Linked DNA regions of Drosophila melanogaster. The protein of the gene in region 2 interacts with the protein of the main gene of each other region in a pairwise test. Each region holds a gene or a part of one and is shown on either strand. Other genes may lie near its edges.

What was found. Proteins that work in one complex are often made in the same cells at the same time.
Region 1: the proteins of hng2 (region 2) and Eip75B interact in a two-hybrid assay, tested with the Drosophila melanogaster proteins (one large-scale study listed by BioGRID).
Region 3: the proteins of hng2 (region 2) and Sox21b interact in a two-hybrid assay, tested with the Drosophila melanogaster proteins (one large-scale study listed by BioGRID).

Annotation. Positions count from the first base shown.
Region 1 is NT_037436.4:18,060,420-18,068,452, forward strand, and holds the start of Eip75B (Ecdysone-induced protein 75B), read right to left. Parts: upstream 4,278-8,033; 5' UTR 4,092-4,277; intron 1,035-4,091; exon of another isoform or gene 527-1,034; intron 436-526; 5' UTR 3-435; intron 1-2. UniProt on the Drosophila melanogaster protein: Implicated in the regulation of ecdysone-triggered gene hierarchies. Probably plays a key role in mediating the regulation of the larval molt by 20-OH-ecdysone.
Region 2 is NT_033777.3:8,803,730-8,810,482, reverse strand, and holds hng2 (hinge2), read right to left. Parts: upstream 4,162-6,753; 5' UTR 4,118-4,161; coding exon 3,904-4,117; intron 3,851-3,903; coding exon 3,300-3,850; 3' UTR 2,902-3,299; downstream 1-2,901. Other genes in the region: CG9837 (uncharacterized protein), read left to right, coding at 701-754, 816-1,385; CG9839 (uncharacterized protein), read left to right, coding at 4,985-5,291, 5,357-6,753; CCT7 (chaperonin containing TCP1 subunit 7), read right to left, coding at 4,464-4,690.
Region 3 is NT_037436.4:14,127,048-14,135,346, reverse strand, and holds the start of Sox21b (Sox21b), read left to right. Parts: upstream 1-4,022; 5' UTR 4,023-4,209; exon of another isoform or gene 4,210-4,789; intron 4,790-8,299.

The sequences.
Region 1 (8,033 bases), on a different chromosome or scaffold from region 2:
ACTTTTTTGCAAATTGAAGTATATCGCTCGATTGTTTGCTGAATTGATTGATGTATTGATTGATTAAAATCGTATCGTGTATAAGAATATATATATTTAATGATCGTATTTACGTGTGTATAAGGTTTAATCTTTGTTTGTTTATAAATGAATTTAATTGTAATATATATTCACTGCTTACACTACTTTTTATTTTAAACAAGTTACACGATTCACAAGATTTATTATTATGATTAGTATCAGTAATTTTATTCCAAAAATATATGTGTTTATTTGTATAGATATTTCTTAAGATTTTGCACATGAAACACAACGCTTTTGTTGCCTTTTTTGTTATAAACTTTTTAACCTGAGCATTAACTTCTTTCACTTTGTTTTTAATTAGATTTCCGTGTTTATACTTCCATGTAGTAGTTGTTTCTTTTTTAAACACCTCTAGAAAAATATAATTAGTTGATTTTTTGTATATTGGTTTGTGTTTGTTTAGTGGTGTTGTGTGAGCTTTAAATGGATGCTTAAGGGCCACTTTTTATTAAATTTTGTTTGTTTAACTGCTTTAAGCTCATTCATTGGGAATTTTCACTTTGATTTCAATTTGATTTACTTCGTTTGTTTTATTTTTTGTGGTTTTGGGCTCTTACACTTGTCTCTTTTGGCATTTGACCTTTGTGTTAGGCAATCGCAGAGTGAATTTGTTTATTAGGAACAACTTATTGAAGCACATTGCGAAAGGATGACGAATATAATGATTTCGTAGGAATCGCACAGCTGTTTTAGCGATATCTCCGATTTTCTGACATTAATGCTAGCAAACTTCTCTCCTCTTTTTCGTATATCGTATGGCCAACAGCTGAGGGTCGAATTCGAGTGGGTGGTCGGTAGCAACAGCTGGGCGCACGGGAAGGTCGTTTTCAGGGCGGAGTTGCTGTAGCAGCGGATATTTTTGGAGGACTGCGGTTCAAGAACAAGGACGAAGACGAGGTCGCGGCCGAAGGGGGCGGAACAGGACAGGATAGGACCCAAGCAGCTGTTCGGCCTGCACAAGGACAAGGACGCTCACGAGGCGCTACGGATACGATACGAGCACGATACACGGACACGGTTACGGCCACGGCCACGGCTCAATGTGGAAAACACTTGGCGCCCTTGACAATGGGCTATCGCTTATATAAGGGACCTTGGCGAGCTCCCATAATTATTGCACATTTCCCCGATTTATTGACACTATATGTATATTTATTATAATATTTTTCAATATATTTTTTCCTTATATTTTCACTCTCTGCTCGGCCAGTGGGGCTTTGTTTATTTGCTAGAATCGCGACAGGTTGGAATATATTCGCAACCGTTGCGTTGGCCGTACTTTCTCTGACTGAAACAGCAAAAGCTCTGAAAGCCAGAACAGAACCAGAAAAGAGCGACAAAAAAGCGAGTCGGTTCTCGCGCAAAAAGCTGCACAATGAAAGTGAAAACCGTATGAAAAATGAGAGAATCCGACTGCAAAGATGGGAAGAATTCGAAAGCGAGAGGCTCGGAGAGAGAGAGCGACTGCGTACGAGGAAGCTGAGGTGAAGAATACGAAAAGCAAAACATAAATAAACAAAAATAAACGCGAATGAGCCAGCCAAAAGAGAAGAACGCACACGGATTTTTCTAAACTTTTTTTTTGCGATGGGGGTTAACAAAATTTGGACTGGGGCAGTTTCAAGGGGGAGTTTTTGGAGTTTTTTGTGGCTAAGGGTTGATTATTCGGGGGTTGCTCGCTTCCCATTTGGGGTTTCACTTGACGGGACTCAACTTCCGTGTTTCAGTGCGTATGAGTAATGTGCGTGTGGAGAGATTTTCGTGGGGTTGCGCTTTTCGGTTGGTCTGGGCTACACTGGGTTATTTTCTCTGGGTAAGGGCAGGGTTACGCATTGAGGTAGGTTCGGGGTCTGCTCGTAATTGATGAATGGAGCTGTATTGCCAAAAAAGGGAATATTGCGCATAAAATTAAATTAGTTTGGGTTGGGGCTTGGCCTTTTATGTTTTGTTGAAAGTTTTTGAATGTTCATCCTGTAAAAAGTGACTACAAACATTTTATCTGAACATAAATTTATAAAAACAAAGGCTGTTCTACTTTAGTCTTGTTACAGATAACTTTAATTTAATAAATTTATCATTTTCATTATCACTAAGCATCAAAAGTTTAATACTTAATAAGAAGTATTATCAACATCGCTTACTTTCACCTGTCTATAACACGAAATCAGAGCAATCATCTGGCATTGGCGAAACAAATGCATATTTTTTCCAAGCGCCATGAGATGATGCCTCATGCCCCACAATTCCCTGTCTATTCGATGGCGGCCATATAGCGGAAGTTTCCGCAAACGTCAGTGGGGGAGACCTCCAGAAAAATGTACGGAGATACAAACGCTAGGCGCCGAATAAACCGCTATTTGCAAACGAGCAAAGGCGATGACACTCGGCGTGCAAGTGTGTGCACTCGCGTGTGCATGACAACATTCAATAGCAGCGTAATCAACAAACAAAATGCAACCTCACGAGCTGCAACCATTTGACAGAGTGTATATGTTGAACAGGCTTTTAAAATATAACAATTTATTTTAATAAAACTTTTAATAAAATGATGCTTTTATTCGAATATTTTGCAATCACATACATAGTTGTGTTTAATTGATTTCAAACATCTTATTTAATTTAAAAAAAATTGGTTAGTAATAATAATTAAATCTATGTTGTTAGCCACAGTAAATTTAAGTGAAAATCAACGTTACGGTTAAATAAAAAATTATACTTTGATTACACATTTTCTTCAAGTGCAAGCCCACACACAGACTACAATCAAAAACGCACACCACAGCACGAGGCGGCAATGTATTGACCTTAACACTGAACGACATCGCACACACTTGCATTGCAAAATAAGAACTTGAAATAGAATAAATCGAGCAAGAGAGCAGTGCAAATAAAAAGAGAGCGCCGAGAGAAATAGAGCACGTGAGTGTATGTGTGTTCAAGTTCACCCACACCAAGGCGAGTCTAACAGGGCGTCTACAGTTGAGCAAGCAGCGCTCTGTTAACGGGCTGCAGATCCCCTGTTAGCTTTCCTCCTCTGTTTTCTTGGGGTCTCTGCATTTCAGCGGAGTTGCCAGGGGGCGTTGGGTGGTGGGGCTGCGTTCTGTTTGCAGGGGGTGTGGCTCGCCTCTAATGAGGGTTGCAACTCCAGACGGAGTTTCATCCGAGTGGAATGAGTCAGACAGCCGGGGAATGGGTCCAAAAAAGGAGCTTATTCAGCAGGAAGGATAAGTGCTTTCGAGTTCGTTTTTTTTGGTCAATAAATTTAACCATCTAATTGAGGACTTAGTTACGCCTGATATCCGAGAGTTAAAGGTCATGCGACCCTTATACATGGTTTTGTGCAATATAAAATGATCACTTTTCTATCTTATGTTTGTCGGTTTTCGTATTGTTCTGTTTAGTTTAGCAACCTGCTTTTAATTTACTTTTAACTTTTAGGCTTTCGATTGTATGAACTGTTAAGTACTTCGCAAACCTTTGTTCAACTATTTCAAATTTTATATTTTTACTTTTTGCTTCGTTTATTATTTTAAAACAATTTGAGAGCATTTCTATGCACATTTTTCGTTCTTGATATTATTTGACCGTTTTTTATGCTTTCATGAGTCACATAATGCTTATACATATGTATATGCTTAACATCGTTCAGTTATGCGCAGTTAAGTGAATTTTGTTGAATGGTTCATGAGTTTAAGCATAAGTTTTCTATTTAAAGATAGATCAGTTTCACAAATCCTATATATAAAGGATTTCTGTTAGTTGAATTATTTTCAATGACGACGAGTGTTAACTTGCACACAATAATATGTTACACCATATTTTTTTATAGATATTTCTGTATTTAATATTGTCACAGCTTAAAATTTTAAACTTTGGCAATTGTTTGCACTATTCTGATTGTGATTGAAAAGACTGTCCTTGTGCTTCCCTTGTTACTTGTGATATTTATATAGCATCGAATTGGCACACAAAACTCACACAACTCTGCCTTAATCCAATTCACGTACAAAGAGTTCACCACTTATTCGGACGCATCACGCAGATACTTTTTGTATCTGCATTCAGAGGATTGCTATTTGTCCCGATCGAATTCTGGTGCTAACAAACGAAAGTTAACCGCCGATTGGTAAGACGATTGCGCAGAAGAGGAAAAGCGCGACAGAGGACGGAACGCGACGGTGACGGTGCGTTCCACATGACGTATTCAAAATGACTGAGACCAGACCGAGACTGGACTGCAAATTTTCGCAAAAGTGAAAAATTCTACTTTCAATATGAAAACGAACTGCGCTGTCGCCGTCGACGCCGACTGCGCTGCCTGGGCGGGAGTTGTGCAGCGGCAGCGCACTGTGGGTGTGGGTAAGGTAGGTCGTGGTATGGGAATGCACAGTGGCTACAGAGAGAGAAAAGGGAGAGCACCATCACCATTACAGAGAGTGATAGAGAGAAAGAGCAGAGCGGAAGGCCGACAGAGCCAGAACCTGCAGCGAATGCAGAGAACAAAGCGGAGCAGAGAAGTCAATGTACAAAGCAGATTGGGGGTGCAATGGACGCCGAACATGGAACTCAGGCGCGGACGTGTACGTCGCCACAGTGGATGCCCGCTAGAAAGAAATCGAAATCATGCTAATTTTTCAGTTTAAGAAATCTGAAATCTTGAAACTTGAAAAATTATTTAAACAATTAAACAACTAAACAAGTTCTTTAGAGCATTATGTTAATTTTTTTTTGGTTTAGCTAAATTAGAAAGAATTTTTTAGAAATTTGCTGATGTTTTCATGTGGAACATATGGAAGGTGTGTGTTGATTTCATCCTTTAATAACCCAAATATATTTTACTACTAGCTTGGAAAAAAATAAAAATCCCTACCAACCTATATTAAAATTTTTAGGAACTCATTAAATGATGAACTATCAATAAAAAGAAATAATAAAATAATCATTATCCAACTAGACAGGCCAAATTAATGATCTCGATATCGCAACATTTCAAGTTGCCCTGTACCGGGCTTTCCAAGCTTATTTCCATGTTTCTGACGTGTACAGTAGTACATATCGTGGTTCCCGCCTGGAGTGACTTGCCCCTTTTGCGTGCTTCTTTTGGGGTTGCAAAGTTTTGGCATTCCGGGAGTTGTCGTAGCACAGAAATTAAAAATAATTGCAAAAAGTCGGCGAGTGGGTGGATTTCTCGGGTTTTCTGATCCTGGTTGTCGGTCCCTGTCTGTCTGGAGTTGCAACCCCTCGGGCAACGAAATGAAAGCAAACTTCAGACTCTTGGACTTGGGGTGTGGAAAGCGAGTGGGTATCAAAGGGCCGCGAAGCAGAAAAGGCGAGAAAGGAGTAAGAGGACAAGCGGTTTCCTAGACACTCGATGGGCTACTTTTTGTTTGGTAAGGTCGGTCCCAGGCAGAGATACTTCCTTTATGAGCTTCGATTTTAGCCAGCATCGGGGGTTGCACTCTTATGGATCTGGCTTTCATTGTCTTTCACGCTGTGGGATAGGTTTGAAGGGAACAGCATCTTGTAACCTTGATTTTCTTATTTGCCATTGTTGTTGACAAGACGGGATTAACTTTCAAGAACTTATCATCACTGTTCCCGGACAGCGTTTCAAGAAAACCCCCCGTGACTACACTATTATAATTTTTTAATAGAAACTCTGAAATTGCATATTGACTATTTTATTTTATGGAATATCGATGCTTATTATTTTAAGTTTTAACGACTGTACAAATAAACTATAGCAAATGTAATTTAACCTTGCAAATACCACTGCAGACATTTGCCAATTCAGGTTCAGTCTTCTGGGGCATTTTGGAACCGAATCTGTCTCCTTGAGGACCTCCAAATGCAACGAGGGCGTTGCATTGAGACACTGGCCCTGGCAGCCCTAATACAATAGTGGTCAAATACCATGGTCAATGACAGCGTCGTGAAATTTGCAACTGGCGACACGTGGCAGGGGCAACCAGACGCCACCCTTGGTCCTTTTAAGAGGATGCCCCCGTCAACCCAATCTGAATCCAGTTAAAAACGTCTCTCTTTCTCTCTCTCTGCATAGAGCGGATGTGCAAAAGCGCATGTTTGCGAGCTGCATCGATGCACTTGCCACACGGCTGCACGAAGGTTAAAAGAGTTTTCAGGGGCACTACGAGACTTACTACTGCTCCATCGGGCGAAGACCAAGGACCAAGGACCAAGGGCAAGGACACGCAGGCATGCGCATTTCCGCATCCGAAGTCGGGTCCTTGGCTCTGGTTCGGTTTCGTATTCGGATCCATGGCTGGAAGTGCCTCATTGCCAAGGTCCCAAGCGTGGGGAAGGCAGTGATGCCCACTATAGACTGATACAAGTTCCTGTATTACCTTATGATGCATATCTAAGCCAAAATTTCAGTATAGTTAAACAACTAGTTCAAATTGCTTAATATAAATTGTATGATAGAGGGCACCATTTTAAATATTTTTCCATCCAACGCTTAAATACTACAATTCTATTAAGTGAATTTTCACTTACCCCTCATTTTACAAAATTGTCAGTCATTGTTAAACATTACTGTACAGTTCGATGAAGCAGGCGTAAAGCTCCTGTAAATGACATTGGGTAGTAGGTGGCAGACATGGGAGAAAACAAATATAGTGGGTACCGGGTGAAGCGGATTAATTTCAGGGCTGCACACTGCAGTTCTTTTGCATTTCCTTGACAAATTGTAAACTGAATGCAACCGATGCAGTGCAAGGATATATGGCACACACGTGTCACCCACACTCACGCGGTCGCTAAAATTCGACATTGCACCGATGGTCATTAAAAGGTCAGCAGAAACAAGTCCTTGCCCAGATCCGAACTAAAATGCGCAAATGTTTGGCACGCTTTAATGTTATCATCATAATATTTTAAAATATGTAAATTTAACTTTTATTTATAACAATTGATACATTTTGTATGTGAGGATTGCATTTTAGAAGCAACTCGCAAAGAATAAATACAGCAACATATATTCTTGAATAATAAATATTGGGTATAATACGTAATGAGGTTCATATAGAAAATATTTTTTAGCAAGCATTCTGTATCAATAATAAAAGATTTTTCCATACATTTTCTACTTAAGCAGACACTCACTGTGATTAAAAGTAGTACGCAATTAAACATAGAAAAAAACATTGTCTACGCCAATTAGTAAAACTGTTGACCAGAGCGAATAAAGCAAGTCCGAATTTACATAGCCTAAACAAACTAAACAAAATGAAATTTCGGGCCTGGGCCAATTATTGGGTCAATGTGCGTGCATTGAACTGATTCGGCCAAGTCAAAGCGTTAACGTGGCCAAAAGTGTGCTATAAGTCACTCGCCTCCAGAGGGTTCATTGAGACTAATTTTCATGGGGACCCGCAGAGCAGGAGACAAGGAGCTCCGGAGGGAGTATTTCTCCTTATTTATGGCAGAGGAGCAGGCGTCGGGTCGGTGACTCAGTGGCAATATTTGGGTTTAGCAAGAGTTTATCCCCTTGTCACCCTTAGAGCTTCTCCTCTCGTTGAAAATATGGGAATTTTCGACATTGCAGCCACACAAAAATCCCTACAACGTTGCTAATCGATAATCTGAGAATTTTTGTTTATTTTTTTTTCTCTTTGTAACATAAAATCAGGACAAATATAAATTAATTTATTAATATATACACAATCTTCCACTTTTTGGAAGTATATTTAAATAAAGGATGTCATGCTTGAGGTGAACAAGTTTAGATTATTCACCTCTATTGTATTATTCCAACCTGAACCCAACCTGAAGTTGAATCATTGTTCCAAAAACTCCCACTTTAGGCTACCAGCGCCCAACTACCTGATGAGTAAGCCACGGAATTTGCGGCCAATGTTGTTGAACCTGCGCGGGACTCGTGTCCATTGCACCTGACACGCACTCCTGGATGGAAAGGACAAGATTGA
Region 2 (6,753 bases):
GACTCTGTGAAATGGGTTCCCAAAAAAGGTGGATGATTCACGGACTCCAAATACCCATGCGGGCTATTAACCAGTCCATCTTTTATGTCACATGTATTAAGATTATATTTATATAGCACACATTTTTTCTTAAATTGTTTAAATTTTTATACCAAATGGGAACTATATCCATATCAGGCAATTAATATTAACTGCTTTTTGGATCACCCTCAATAATGCATACAATCTGCATACTCATTGTTTTATTACAATACAACTACCACTAATTAATATTAATAGACCACATATGATATGGCATTCGTTTAGTCAGTTTAAGATAATTCTGAATTCTGTATACCCTCGGCAGGTTCAAAGAACTTACTAGTTTCCATAGAGGTCATATTGGATACGAAGCTTTCAGCAAATTGAAATACTTGCTATTCCAAGCGCCTTGAAATGGTTTTAGGTTGGCAATCGCTCACCTCACTGTATTGACTTTTCATCTCGGCGAACACGTGACTTGCGCTTTGTCTGGCAATATGTATTCCCATAGCTAGAAAACTCATTGAATGTGAATGAATCTGTTATCGGTCAAGTGGGAACGATGTGTGATAACCCCGTGGTTTGATAAGCGTCGATGTCGAGCTTGGATTGCATGAAGTGGTCTGATCGTGAGATTTCAGCTTGGAATCAGTCAAACATTTCCCAGTTCACCGACAAGATGTGGTCCTCTAAGACTATTTTGGTTTTCCTAGCAGCATTTACTTTGGTCCAGGCATGTTTCCGATTGTGCAAGCCTGCTGGATGTTTCTTAACAAAATTTCTAATCCTTATAGGGTAGCATGCGGTTTCACTTCACCTTGGACTTTCACGTACAGCAGCCGCCGAATGCATCCGACACCATCGACAAGACCATTATTGTGGAGAACGATCGGATATCTATGGTGGACAACGAAGGAGCGACTACTAAGGCTCCGATGACCCAGTGGACAGATCAGGATCAGTATAATCAGGACGCATTGCTGAAGGTGACCGATACGCGCAGATCGGTGCAACAGCTGAATACGGAGCTCTCACCCCTGGTTGGCAGGAGCACCGATTTGGCCAGAAGGATTAAGCAGAGTATGCGATACGTCAACGAGGTGGATGCTAATCTGGACGATTTGAGCAACTTTGGGCAGCTGGTGGAGCTGCTCAAGAAATTCGTAATCCTAGTCGATAACCTAAGGGATCCAAACAATCTCGGAGGCATTCGAAGCCTGGAGTACGTACTCCTGAAGTTGGCTCTAGAGAAGTACGACCTTCTGAACAAGCGACAGGAGATCGGTGAATACTTGGAAAGGGCGGAGAGTGCCTGGCGAAGATACCAAAACACACAGGTGGTTGTTCTGGATAACTCCACCTGAGTCGGGCTCAGATGCCTAGGACCACCACATTAGGAACTTAGTTTTAGGATAAAACAGAACAAAGACCAGCATCATGGGTCGACACAATCGCTGCACCATGATCTACTAGAGCGGCTCGGCTCTTGAAAGGAATAAAAGACATCGAAGGGACTTCCTGTCTATTATTCGATTTCACTGCAATGCCCAGAATTGCTACAGGTATGCGAGGGGAGGTATTCCAGGGGTAGAATACCCTAAATTCCCTTCGGTGCCCGGTTTCGTTAAGGCTGGAAAGTACGTTACACACGCTGGGAATGCCTTTGTACACTGCAAAAAATTTAAGTTAGACCTAGAAGAGTAAGCAATCATGATAAATAAGTATTTTACCCTAAACAAAAATTCTGCTTGATTTTTATTTGTTTTATTTTTCCCTAAAAAACTGCACCTGCAATCATTTTCGTGAAGTATTGATTTATTGATATTGATGTAGATTTCCTATCAGTAGAATCTACATTTCTTGCATAGCAATTCATTTAATCTAATCAAAATAACAGTAATAAAATACTTAAAAAAGAAAATACGATAAAGTTTTCAGTGCATTTCCATTCAGCAGATGCAGGTAGTCGGAATCGAGGAACTAAGGGACCTTTTAATAGGGTAGAACAGCTGCCAGAGCCGTTGCTAATAGATGAAGTGGAGGGTAGGGTCCCGAACGCGGGCAGAAATTTCCGAAACCCGAAACAACCACTAACAAAAACCATATGCAGTTAAGTGGGAAATGGAATGGGGCGATCCCGAGGAGAACGGCATCATCAGGACGTTACGAGTACCATTTGTCGGGTGAATTGTGGGGGCGGGTATTCGGGGTAACGATATCGTCGTACCCCCCATAGATGGTACTCAGGGAATTCCCAGCAGTGTGGAACGCTTGAAAGCCGACACCGCATCCAAATCTCTGTGTTACCCCTATGGGTTCCTTAACGGTTTTCAGCGATTTCTTTTTAGGGGTGTCGTCTGGAGTGTCGACTTATAAATACGCTCGTACAATCCATAAATGTGCCTTTGTGTTGAACAAAAACCATGAAGAAATCGGTATACATAATGAAAACTCGATTGGCATAAGAGGTACAAGCTGTATGAATACAGGTTTCAACTCTTTTTTGTATCAACATCAGCCGAAACTGGTCAAACGGCTTTGGAACATGGGCCATCCGATGGCTTATGTATCGTTTTGACAGTTTATGTTTATACTAAAATTTCGCTGCAGGCGATAAATATGTATTGAGACAGCATCCGGCCCAAGAAAGTAGTGGCTAGGGGGATGAATAACAGAACATGGGATTTATGTAAAAATATCAATTACACATGTGGACAATTTGCTTGCATACATAGTTAATATACATATGAGCATATATATTCATATGAAATTCCATACAAATCCATGTTGTATGAAATTGATATTGAAACCCACGTATAAAAATATATTGCCGTCGTTAGATAATTTATGGTTTAAAACAAAATAAAATGCATATTTTTTATACATTATTTAATGTTGTTTTTAATGTTTTTTTCATTGTCTTAAATAACTCTACAACTATTGTATTATTATCAAAAATTACAAAAGTAAGCGTATAATATATACATTGCGCAAAACACAGAAGTTACTATGAGAAAACTATTTGACGCATTATTAAGAACTAAAAAAAATAATTGAATCATTGGTTGCATTAAAGTTTAACCCCTGGTTTGTGAATATTATTGTTTGTATATTAAATTACAAATTACAGTTCATTATTTAAATTTCGCGCCCTAAAGATTAGACGATTTACGATAACGATTAAATGTATTCTTATTGCTTATGTTAACTTGCTGTTAAACGAATTTTGCCCTTCTTGTAAATGCATTTGTAAATGATTTGACTTCTGTAGTGAATATTCAATTCGGCTTGAAGTTTCGTAGGATTTTCAGGACCTCGATCTGAAAGTCAAGCTTGCGATCGGCGCACATCTGCTGCATGTGAGGCTTAATGGTGTCGAAGAAGGCCTGATCAGGATCGGCGGACAAGTAGGCGGTATTTGTACTGCAGGGTGGATCTGATGGTAACTGTGGAATATATGCGATTTCCGGAGTGGCGGTGTCCTCCTTGGCGCAGCCCAGATCTCCCAGAACCGTATTTATGTTGCTTGGTATGGCTGGATTGCGGATGGCAGGCTCAATATTCGATTCTTGGTCGGAGTTTCTCTTTCGTGGAGTCTTTGCAGATCTCTGTGCGGCAGTGCTCACTCGCTTCCGTTTGGCCTGGGGCTTGGGTTGCTCCTTCAAGGATTCTACATCGTCCTCCGACTCTGCTTTCACGTTCAGCAGGAAACTCAGTTCCTTTTCGTAGATGTAGGAAGCTCTGGCCACCTCCTCGCCACTTTGACGTAGTCGGTTGACCCGTAGGTAGCTGTCCCTCGTGTTTTTCCAACGTTTGAGCAGTGTTTTAACTGGAATTGGAAGTTATGTATGATATAGACTCAAAAAGGTAGCCACCACCTACCTATTTCCTGCTTCTCCGGCTCGCTGGAGTCGTCAAAATTCGAGCAAAGCTCGTGGCCAATTTGCTGCCAGGCCTCATCTCTGAGTTCGCGGTTATGGAAGTTTGGGTGGCTTCGTTCCCATATAATAGAACGTTTGTGTACCGCGTCAATGAACTCGTACATCGAATAGCGCAAATTGCTTCCTGCCGATCGAAGAACTTTATGATTGCCCATTATTTATTGTTTATTTAAGGGTTGGATTGGATTGACAATATGTTGCTTGCGTTTAACAGCACCACGGGCAGCTGCTTAACAGCACTCCCCGCAGAGTTGCCACCTCGCCCCGCATTTAAACTAAAAACGTTCTGATGTTATGAAAATACAAATTTCAATTTTGTGTTTTATTATTAAACATATACAGATAGGTCAGTGGATTATTGTTGCTGTTGTTCTTGCTTCGAAGCGTGCGAAATGCGAAGGTATGACCGAGTAATACGTGTACGTGTTAAATTAGGAGAGAAATGCAAGTGAGTTTTGATGATTAGGGTGTAGTGTTCTCTGGATTTCTGAATGATTCTATTTACATGGGCCTGCCCATTCCGCGGCCCATTCCCATGCCACCGCCGGCCATCGGGGGTTCTCCGGCCTTGGGACTCTTTATTGTCTCATCGACGGAAAGGATCATGCAGGCTGCCTCGGCGGCCGCCGTCAGTGCATTGATCTTAATGATGGACGGCTCCCAGACGCACTGCTCATAGTTGTCCGAAATGTCTTCCTTGTTGATGTCGACGCCGTACCACTGTCCTCCTGTAAAAAGGTAAATGTATAAAATTATAATAATTATTAATTAGAGTTCAAAATTACACGACCGATTTGAATTCGCCAACGATTTTTGCAGGTAACATTTCGTTCAGGTGGCAACGCCGCTTACAGCCCGCGCAATAAACGAATTGAGAAGGTGCGAAAGAGCACAACATACAGCACATGTGACTCGAGTGAGAGAGGACGAGTGACAGTGAGGTCGAAGAAAAACACGCGTTGCTGCGGCTAAAATTTCCTCTGTATTTACATTATTTGGAAGAGAAAACGCAGCCAAACGAAATGTCCAGCTCCGGAAGAAAGCGCAAGCAGCAACTTAAGCCGCGTCAGGACGATCACCGGTCGCCGGTGAAGCGACGCAGTGTGGACATCAAGTCGGAACCCTTGGACGGCTATCCGGCGCTAGCAGACTACGATTTAAGTACGGCCGATATCAAGCCGGATCTCACTGAACTCCAATTGCAGCTGGTGGCGGAGCAGCAGGCGGCCAGCAACACCATTCGCTTGGAATTGGAACAGCAAGAGAGTGATTCCGACGAGGATGGCTACTCAGAGCTCGATTACCAAGCTGAAGATGTCTTCTGTCAGGGTAAGAAGGGTGCTCCTCCCGTCATTTCAAGACCCCACTTATAAAATTATCCTTTTTAAACCCAGACGATATGGATGACTACGATCCAGATTGGTCCAGCCAGCAGACGGGTTCCCGACTGCTCTTCAAATTTCCCATCCAGCAGAGTGGCCTGAAATTCGGACAACGCTTCCAGGGACCACAGCACTACTTCAACCAAGTGCTGGGAAATCGCTCCAAGTTCTTCAGTTCCCTGGCCCAAAGCTGCAACCTAAAGGGAGGAGAGCTCAAGTCCAATCCCACAACTGCCGAAGAAATGGAAATCTTTATGGCGCTTTCCCTGCTTATGTGTGACCTGAAGCTGGAGCACCTATCGGATTACTGGAGCACTAACATGTTTTACGGTCTCGTCGGATTCTCTGGGAAGATTCCTCTGGAACGGTATCAGCAGCTGCTGCACTGCCTTAACTTTGATGCACCGCAGCTACAAGCGGGCAGAGCCAAAGTGAAGAACTCTCTACTGCTAGACTTTATCAACGAGCGTATGGAAGAGATATACATTTGTGGCCAGCAACTGGTGCTCAATGAACCTATCACTCTGTGGAAGGGTGCATTAAGATACCAGGATGAACTTCCAAACAAATTCCGCACCAACGCACTACTGCTGCATATGCTAACTGAGCAGAGCGGTTTGGTGGTGAAGATTCTACCGGAGATTGTGCGGAAGGAAGACGCACCGGCATGGGTACGCAATTCCCGGCAGTTGGTGGAGCACCGAAACAAGATTGTCCTGAAACTAATGGAGGGTTACCATGGAGGACGCACTGTGTACACCTCAAAGTTCTATGGAAGCTACGGCCTGGCTCAGGAGTTGGCCAAGAAAAGCACCTATTGCACTGGTCTGCTGGACAGGAATAGATATGGCAACAGTAAGGCACTGGTGCACCAGCGGTTGGATTCCAACAGCATCTCCACCAGCTATGCCACTTCTCTGATGATGGCCAAATGGCGACGACGGGCAAAGAGCTTGTACTGCTTCAGCTCTGACTGCTTGGCCATTTATTCCAAGGAGATGGCCATGCAAAAGACAAATGCAAAACCTAAGTTGATCCAGGAGCTCGAGTTTCAACTACGACCTGGAAACGACGGTCGCCACCACCTGATCCACTACCAAGCTGCCTGCAAGGAGCTGAAGGCAAACATAAAGTTGACCATTTTCCTACTCAACATCCTCGTGTACAATGCCTATTTGCTATACTTTGCTAATGGCCAGAATGCGCGAGTCGGACATCTTAAAAGTTACTCGGAGTTCCGGGTGATCATCATAAAGTCGCTTCTAAGAGAAGAAGTGACGAACGAACCGGTAACTAGTATCCAGAAGCCAGAGACATATGAACGGTCAAAGAACAAGCCGGTGCCCGAGCCCAGGTTGAAGACCATTCTACACGAACCCATGCTTATCCAGCAGAACGGGAAGCCGGCC
Region 3 (8,299 bases), on a different chromosome or scaffold from region 2:
AGGTTTACAAATCGGATTAATACTTTTTTGTGGCGGAATCCTAATCGCAGAGTTCTCCTGAACTGGGTGTTCAATGAGATTATGTTGTTTAGTTAGTTGTGTTACTTATAGGTTGATAAACAATACAATTCATAGAAACATATTTTAACTCACATACAGAAAGTAACATTTTGTTTAAAAGTAAATCCTAATGTGTATTTATACATTTAGTCCAATTTTCGATTTTAAGCATTTTAAACTTTCCATAATGTATATTTCAGTTCCCTTGGTATTCCAGAGATATCTCGCAATCTTTCCCATGCTAGCAGCTCCTCTATCATCATATCCTTTTCTTGCCGCGTAATCGTCTGTATTCAAATCGATCGATCGACGGACAGTCTGTCCTTACCAAGGCTACTACACCAGACTGCGTGTCCATTAGTAAAGACCATTCCAATACCATTTTTTAAACATGTCTGGGACATTAAACAACTGGTTTTCGAAGGCCTGTGAACAACATGATTTAGCATTTTGATTGCAATCGTTGGACAATCATAAGGAAAAAAGAAAGAAAATGGTAGCCCCGCTAATCAATTGGTCAGCCCGACAGGCAGTCTGGGTCGATATGTCTCGATATGTTTCCCCTAAAAATATTGAACTACAATATGTATATGTATTAAAATACAATGGATATGTATTAAAATTTTAAGTATTTATTTTCATTCTTTTCCTCTGGAGCAAGATATTTAGATAGTTTCTATCTGACCAATTTTCATCTGCTGAACAGTTCTAATCAACAGTTTTTTTTTCTAGATGCACGGATGTGAAAAAAACGTGTACCTTTTGTGGTCTTTCTACGAAATTCCCCACATGTCCCAAGAACAAACCCCGAAACCATATGAGTTCCTGTTTATCTGCTATCTGGCCTATCAATCGGTGTGTCATAACTGCATTTGGTTTTGTCAGTTTTCGTACGGTCTTTTTTTCTCCTTTGGTTTATCAATTTGCTGCAAATCTGGGCATTGTTTGCGATGTGAATCTGGAAGGTTTCGCAAGGATTAAACGCACTCAGGCTCGACGATGGCAATCTCATTTGTTTGCGACAATTGTTTGGCCATCGATGGATCGATGCTGATTTCGATGCTTCGATCGTTTTTGAACCAAATCTGTTTGCCTTGTGGCCTATGAAATTGTATCCGATGTTTATCTATAAGGGCAGAGCAAAATCCGCACGGTGAAATATATTGCGGAAGGGGAAAGGGCTTCTTTTAGAAGTCCCAAGCGGTTGCCAAACACAACCGAAAATTTGAATGATTTTCCTCGTGCTTTTTGCTTTTTGATTAACATTAATGAGCGACAAAAAGTGCAAAAATTTACATGGCAACGGCGGCATCTCTGCCCCCATTGTTGTCCTGGTCTTTAGAAAATTTTCAATTCACCGCGACAGGAGCTTGTCAGGAGTGTGTGGAAGCCTCATCCACCTCGTCAACCTATCCATCCCCAACAATAACGATTTAGGCATTAGAGCTCCATTGAAATCTTTTTCGTTGCGATTGTTGAGCTTCATTCTGCAGGCTTAGGGCCTTGAAGACGGGCTCAACAAGATGGCAAATCCCCCATCTGGCTGTTCTCATCACAATATTCTCTATCTAAGTTGCAGTCGGTGCATTGTCAGCGCTTTTTGTCTAACTACTCATTAACATTTATTTGCAAGTGCAGAGAATGCTATGGCAAATGCAAAAGCAACTGCCATGATAAATATGACAAACAGACAATGGCCAGATAGACAAACAGAAAACAGAAACTGACAATGGAAAAATGCACTGCGAAAAAAGGGGGTAAGGTGATGAAAGGGATAGAGAATGGTCGACATGGTAGTAGAAAAACAGAAATTTGTATTCGCCCCAACGGAGTGTTCACTGTTCAGGTTATTATACCTTTAGATATATTGTAGCTTAACATGAATATTATAACGAATTTTTTAGATTTTTACGAAGGGAACTTTAAAAAAAGGTGTATTTTATCATACTTTAACGAAAAACTAATTATCCATTTAACTTGAATATCTGACAAACCCCATTCAATAGCTAGCACAGCCATTTTAGGCATTCAGGTGAGTGCAGTGTATAATTACAATGGCTGACTAACTGAGGAAGCGAGACAGACAGAGCGAAAGAGAAGGGGACATAGCCAAAGACAATGGACACAACCAGTACATAGAGTGCGACAGGGAGCGGTAGAAGACGAGAGAGCGAGAGGGGAAAACCAGGTCCAAATAAATGGAACAGTTGCAGTCCATCCATCTATCCATCCAGCAAGCCCTTCGTCACTCACTCAGTTCGTCAAGTTGGGGCTGGAAAAATGTGCGCCATTGTTTCCAACTTGCAATTGTTTGCTGACAATTGGCAAAAAGGCAGCAAGTACTCCTCTTTTCTCAGACTTTTCCACTATCTCCCATGTAGGAAAGGCTTAGGTCATTAGAGTCAAATTAAATTAGAGTGCTAGTAGGTAGTTTCATCTTATAGCAGGTACACACTGTTTGCATTTGTCATTAGTTCGTTGTTAATTAAAACGAAGCCAAAGTGCCAGACGACAGAACTCGACACGACAGAGTGAATGGAAATCAAAATGCGCTAAAAACCGCCCTGAAACAATGGCAACACCTGCGTAATGCCCTGGCCCACCCAAAACCCTTTACACAAAAAGTCCTGGAACAAAGCCCGACCAAATGCGAATGGAGTTGGGACTCCGGAGTTACGAGCCGTTGTCCTGGCAACGCCACCACCACCAAAGCAAATTAACAAAACAATAATGTAGACACGAAAAATTGCAAAGCAATAGTAGGCACTTTGCAGGACTATATACTCCTAAAGTCCAGGTGTCATCATGCACAGATATAAAAAAATTAATTTTGGAAATGGTATTTCATGTGGGTCAAAACACTCAATCGTTAATTGTCATTCCAGTACAGAACGTGTTTTTTAGATCAAAATGTAGTACTATGTGCGAATCTACAACAGACACTACTTTAATCTTTGTCTGAGCCAAAGATAAAGTGTCCCAAAGTGGTCTGTCTGGACCAATTTTGGACTATGGCCACCTTGGTTAACATATCCACCATTTTGAGCTTGGGAATTGGCCAAAGGCGAATCGTAGTTGCGGGCCAGATGTCAGGCTCAGATCTCCACGGTTCAGCTCGATTCAAAAATAAATGTCCATTAAGATTAGTTGATTTTGCTTTCGATAGTTTGTTTTTCACCTTTTTTTTATTTTTTGGACGCTCTTTGCTGGTCTCTAAGCAAATGCGGTAAATAATCGAGAAACTCCCGAAAAGCTCACTCCCAATGGTGGCACCTCTTACCAGTAAAGAGACCGTCGTAGACCCCCACTTTACCCCCATTTTCCACTTGGCATTTCATGTAACACGAAACCTTCCCCAACCAGAAGCATTCCAATTGGAAACGCCCATCATGAGACTCGTTGTTTAGAGTGAAATGGCTATGGTGGCTTAGTAGCTACTCCGTTTATCTCGCTCGCACTCCCACGCAACACCTGCTCTGGTTGACCGCCCTGCCTCTGCATTCTGCATCCCTTTCTGTCTGACATTTTTTATCTCTGTTGCTCTCGTCTTTTTTTTCCTGACGTCGCAGTTCTTGGATTTTTTTTTATTCTTTCCTTCACGAAATGTCACCTGGTCGTTGGGCCTCTCTCTCACCAATACAACGATATTTTTGCTCTCAATTTTGAATTTGTTGTGGATGTAGTTTCTTTATAAACAGGCTTATAAAAAACATTTAACAAACCAATAAGAAAGAAAGCTCTCGGAAAAAGTATTAATCCAGAGCGAGAGAGAACACAAGCTTTTGCAGAGAGGATTTGCTGAGTATGTGTGTGTGTGCTTCTGTGGAGCGATACTGTTACATAGCAGCTGTCTCACCGCCCCACCTGCCACGCCCCCCGCCCCATTCGGTGACTGAAAGACTCGTTTTTTGGCTCGTGTGTTTTTGAAGAGAGCGCGCGCCAAGTTTTTAGTTACGCGTCGGAACGGATCCGTTGAATAGCCGCCAAAGCGCGCTTAGATGCAGCAACAGCCAACTTGGCCAAGAAGAGCCGATCAGCCAACAGCTAGCGACGGTTTTAGCCCCCTCACAAGAAACGCCAAGAAACAACCGATATTCGCAAAAAAAAAATACAAAGGATAATACTAAAAACATAAACAAACTGTTCTCGGTAAATATCCCAAAGTAAAAGTGAATCCTAAACAAACCAAACTTTTCTTTCCCATTTAACTAAATAATAAAACACAAACCAATTCAAAAAACAGTGCTCATATGATATCAACTTTCAACGCTCGTAAAGTGCTCATAGAAATGAAACAAAATACAAATCCAAATAAAGCAAAGCGATTTAAAAGTCTCATAAAGTTTTGAAATCCTAAGCTACTTATTTATCTTGCAAACTTCAAATCAAACAAGCTCCATTCTTTGTAGCATCAAAACATTGGATGCACCATAAGTATCTTATCGATGAATGGAAAGCAAACAACACACGTCAACATAAACTAGTGATATCCATTGGAAAAGTGTTCGTCAAACAGATTCTGTTACGAAACAGCTCAAGACCATAAAAGTCAACAAATTCAACATTTTATGGCAGTTCGGAAAGTGGAATTCATAAGCGACAAAAACAAACCATAAACACATATTATCCAAATAATTCGGTAGTATATTCCGCATATATGCTGCCATCGAATATTTGATTCCAATCGCCGGAAAACGGGAAATTTAAAGGAAATGCAGAACTCTTCGAGGTAACTTCATTGAAGCCAAAACATTATGGATTCTTTAGTTAGTTGTTTAACTTAGCTGCTTTGATTTTAATTAGCAAAACTACATATAAACACATTTACTTACATTTTTTTAGTAAAAGTAAAATATGATCTATGATAAAGTCTGATCCCATAGAACTGAGCATAAGTCTTAAAATTGTTTTCCAAGTTAATTGAAATTACTTCAAGTCAGAAAGCAGGTAAAAAATCAATTAAAAATCCCTTTAACCCTTTACAAATTTCATTTAATTCACCGCCGTTCAGAACGCAATTTGAACAACTTTTCTTGACCATCAATTAGGTAAACACGGAGAGAGCTCCACATAATGAGTCTGAGTGCGTCAGATACAAGGGGAATCAACAGATTTTATTGTTTGGATAATTTCAGGATTTTCCTCTTTTCATTTTCTGCGAAATCATTGTCGGAATCTTTATGCCCCACTCGAGGTGTGTTTACTTTTGCTTTCGATCTTCCACTTGAATTAAAGCAAGCTCGTTTTCTTTCTCTGAGGGGCATTCAAAGTTGTTTGGTTAACTTAATTTCGAAATATAAATGAAAACCGACTCAAGGTATGTGAAAAGCCGCAATGAAAAGAGAGTCAAAAGCACCAGAGAATTTGAAATGACGCAATTAGAGCAAATAATAGTAAAAGAAATAGGGAAAAACAACGTATGTTTATTAATATATTTACACAAAATGTGACAACAATTGAATTTAATGTGACGCGCCCCCATCATATAGAAATCGACTTTGGACCAGCACACAAAAAACCCAATTGTGCAAACAGAGTTTTCTGAAATTATTTTGCGCACCAGATGTCAATCGAATATTTTTACGCCATTCTTTTGGCCATTGTGTTCGCTTTATAAATTTGCTCAAAAAAACAGGCATAATCCAAAGAAGAGTATGAAAAAATTCTAATTAATACCCGGCTGTATCAGCACACATATGGTTAGCTGACTTTGTATCGGTTCTTTTTCTTTTCGATAGCCCTTTGGATAGCCCTTGGCACAAACTTGACACTAAACCTTGGAGGAGCAGGGTATGTGGTTATCGAGACACTGGCACGTTTACGAGGCGATTGTTGCGAGTGTGAAAGTTCTTAATTACAAACATTAGGGGGCCCAGCGACTTAGGGCCCTGAGAAGATCCGATCGCAGCGGGCGGGCAAGACGACACTTTTGAATGGAGGGTCTGCTGGGACCGAAAACCCGGTGCGTATCCGCGATACATTTCAACACAAAGTGGAGACACTTAAAGCTCTACCTGTGTTGAAGACGAGGTGGAAGACTGCAGACCGCGAGACTCCTCTTCGCCGCTAAAGAATGAGCAGAAGAATATGGCTGGGGGAGAGATCTCGGGCTCAGCATGTGGCTAAGCCGATCATAATTCTTGTTTGACATACCAACAAACGGATGAACAAATGAACGCGAAGCAGCAACAACACGGCCAACTTGGTCGGGGGTTACGAGTGGATCTATATGGCCCCCGAAACTCAAGTGGCCAGCGGGTTAATTTTACTCCTACTGCGATACGATACGAAGTCCGAAACAGAAGAACGGCTTCAGCACTCGATTTCCATGAGAAAGAGTCGGACATAAGGTGCCTCTGGTGGGTTATCTATTAAGGCTACTAGATTAACACCCTGAGAAGACCCACGCTTTTGGGTTTAACGGTTACATTTCCGTTACAAATAAATATCGGAGCTGCATTTCGGTCTGCGTGGAGGTGCAGCGAATCAAAAGGAGGAGCTGGCATATTCACAGCAAATAAAAATATCTGGAGTGCAATTTGTGCACAGCTGGTGGTGCAACCGTCGATTCGGATGGTGGCCCTGTGGTGCAACTGATACTGCAACTGCGACACTGCACCACATCGGAACAAGTGTTATGTCCACATAGTCATTTTCGGTTTTATTGCCATTTCAATTACTAGAATAATCACAAAATTAAATTAGTTCGAAAATAAAAATCCAAACATAAATGCAACTTCATATCAATTGATATATGCGTAGTGTTTTCAAAATATGAAATTTAGCGTATACCTTGAGTGGAGGCACAAATAAACATAATCAATTCATTTTTCTCAGTGTATTCTGCCAATTCGCAACATAAAAAGGAGGAGCAAAAATATGGAGAGCAACTTGACAACACAGAAATTTGTTTGCACTCCATAAGGATTACAAATATGCGTGTCCCTTTGCTAACCGCTCCCCGTTCCCAGCTCCCCCTTTTCTTTTAATATAAATTTCATGCTTAATACGCATGCTTGGGCAATTTTTACTTTAACACCAAGTGGTAATGCCCGGAAGCAGTACAGATGTCGCCTCGCATAGCCCAACGCAAGTTATTGACCACGATGCGTTGCATGGCCAGAAATGCCAATGAACAGGGCCAAAAAGAGAGACTGCGGAATATGGCAGCAGAGAAAAAACAGTCGAATTGGACAGATAAAGATAAATAGTTTCGAACCACAGTTGGCCACTTCATAAACCCAAGGATATTCCAAAATTATTGAGTACACGTAACGATCCAGAAATAGTTTTATGTTTTAGATTTATGAGTCTCAACAACTTTTTAGTAGCTTTTTATCTACTATAGGCTGTAAATCCTAAAAAATTATATTTTCTAAATAATTTAATAAGTCTTTAGCTTTAATAAAAGCAAGCAACTAATAGTTTATCTTGTACAAGCCCTATTATACATATACATTTTGCAATACGTACAATATGGGATCGCACTTACCTCCTTAAGTAAACAAAGAATGCTAAATGTATGCTACTTAAATAATTTCTTGGTGATTATTTTAAGAAGCTTAGCTATTTATAAAACAGATGATTTAAACATAAAGATCAAGAAATGTGTCAACGGCATTGTTTCTTTTGAAAATATTACCACGTTTTAGTGATACAAAATATTTGAATTATCCCAACTGAAAACAACAACCACTTTATTTATCTTTTAATAAGAACGCTTAAGTGTCCTCCCTAATTAAAATGATTAGCAATGATCATGATTATTCAGATGTAATACTGATAAACTTTAACTAGAAAGTGAATTAACCTGATAAGTTTTTACATGAATTTTAAAGGAATCCAATTCAATTCATACTGCAAGCAGTCCACTTTAATTAGCTGACTAGCCACTCAGATATAATTATATTATGAATTATTCCCGTTTGCGTTCGCCAACAACTCGCAGTCGTTTCCCTCCCCTACGCCTTGTGACCCCTCAATGCTCATTGGGGCATTGTTAATCAATTAACTAATTGATTTCAGCTCTTAAAAGTATGTCGTCTGAGGCCCATTCTTCGGGGACAAAAAGAAAACAATGCCGAGTGGAGTCGTGGACTTTTGGGCCAAAAAACCCACTTGCGAGCCGCGCTGGCGGTTGCCACCTCAACTCGTCCAGAATCGGACTCACTCCTTTTCAGCGCCCATTGTGTGGGCCAAATGTCAACCCTTAAAACCGACCGGGATGCACAATAACACA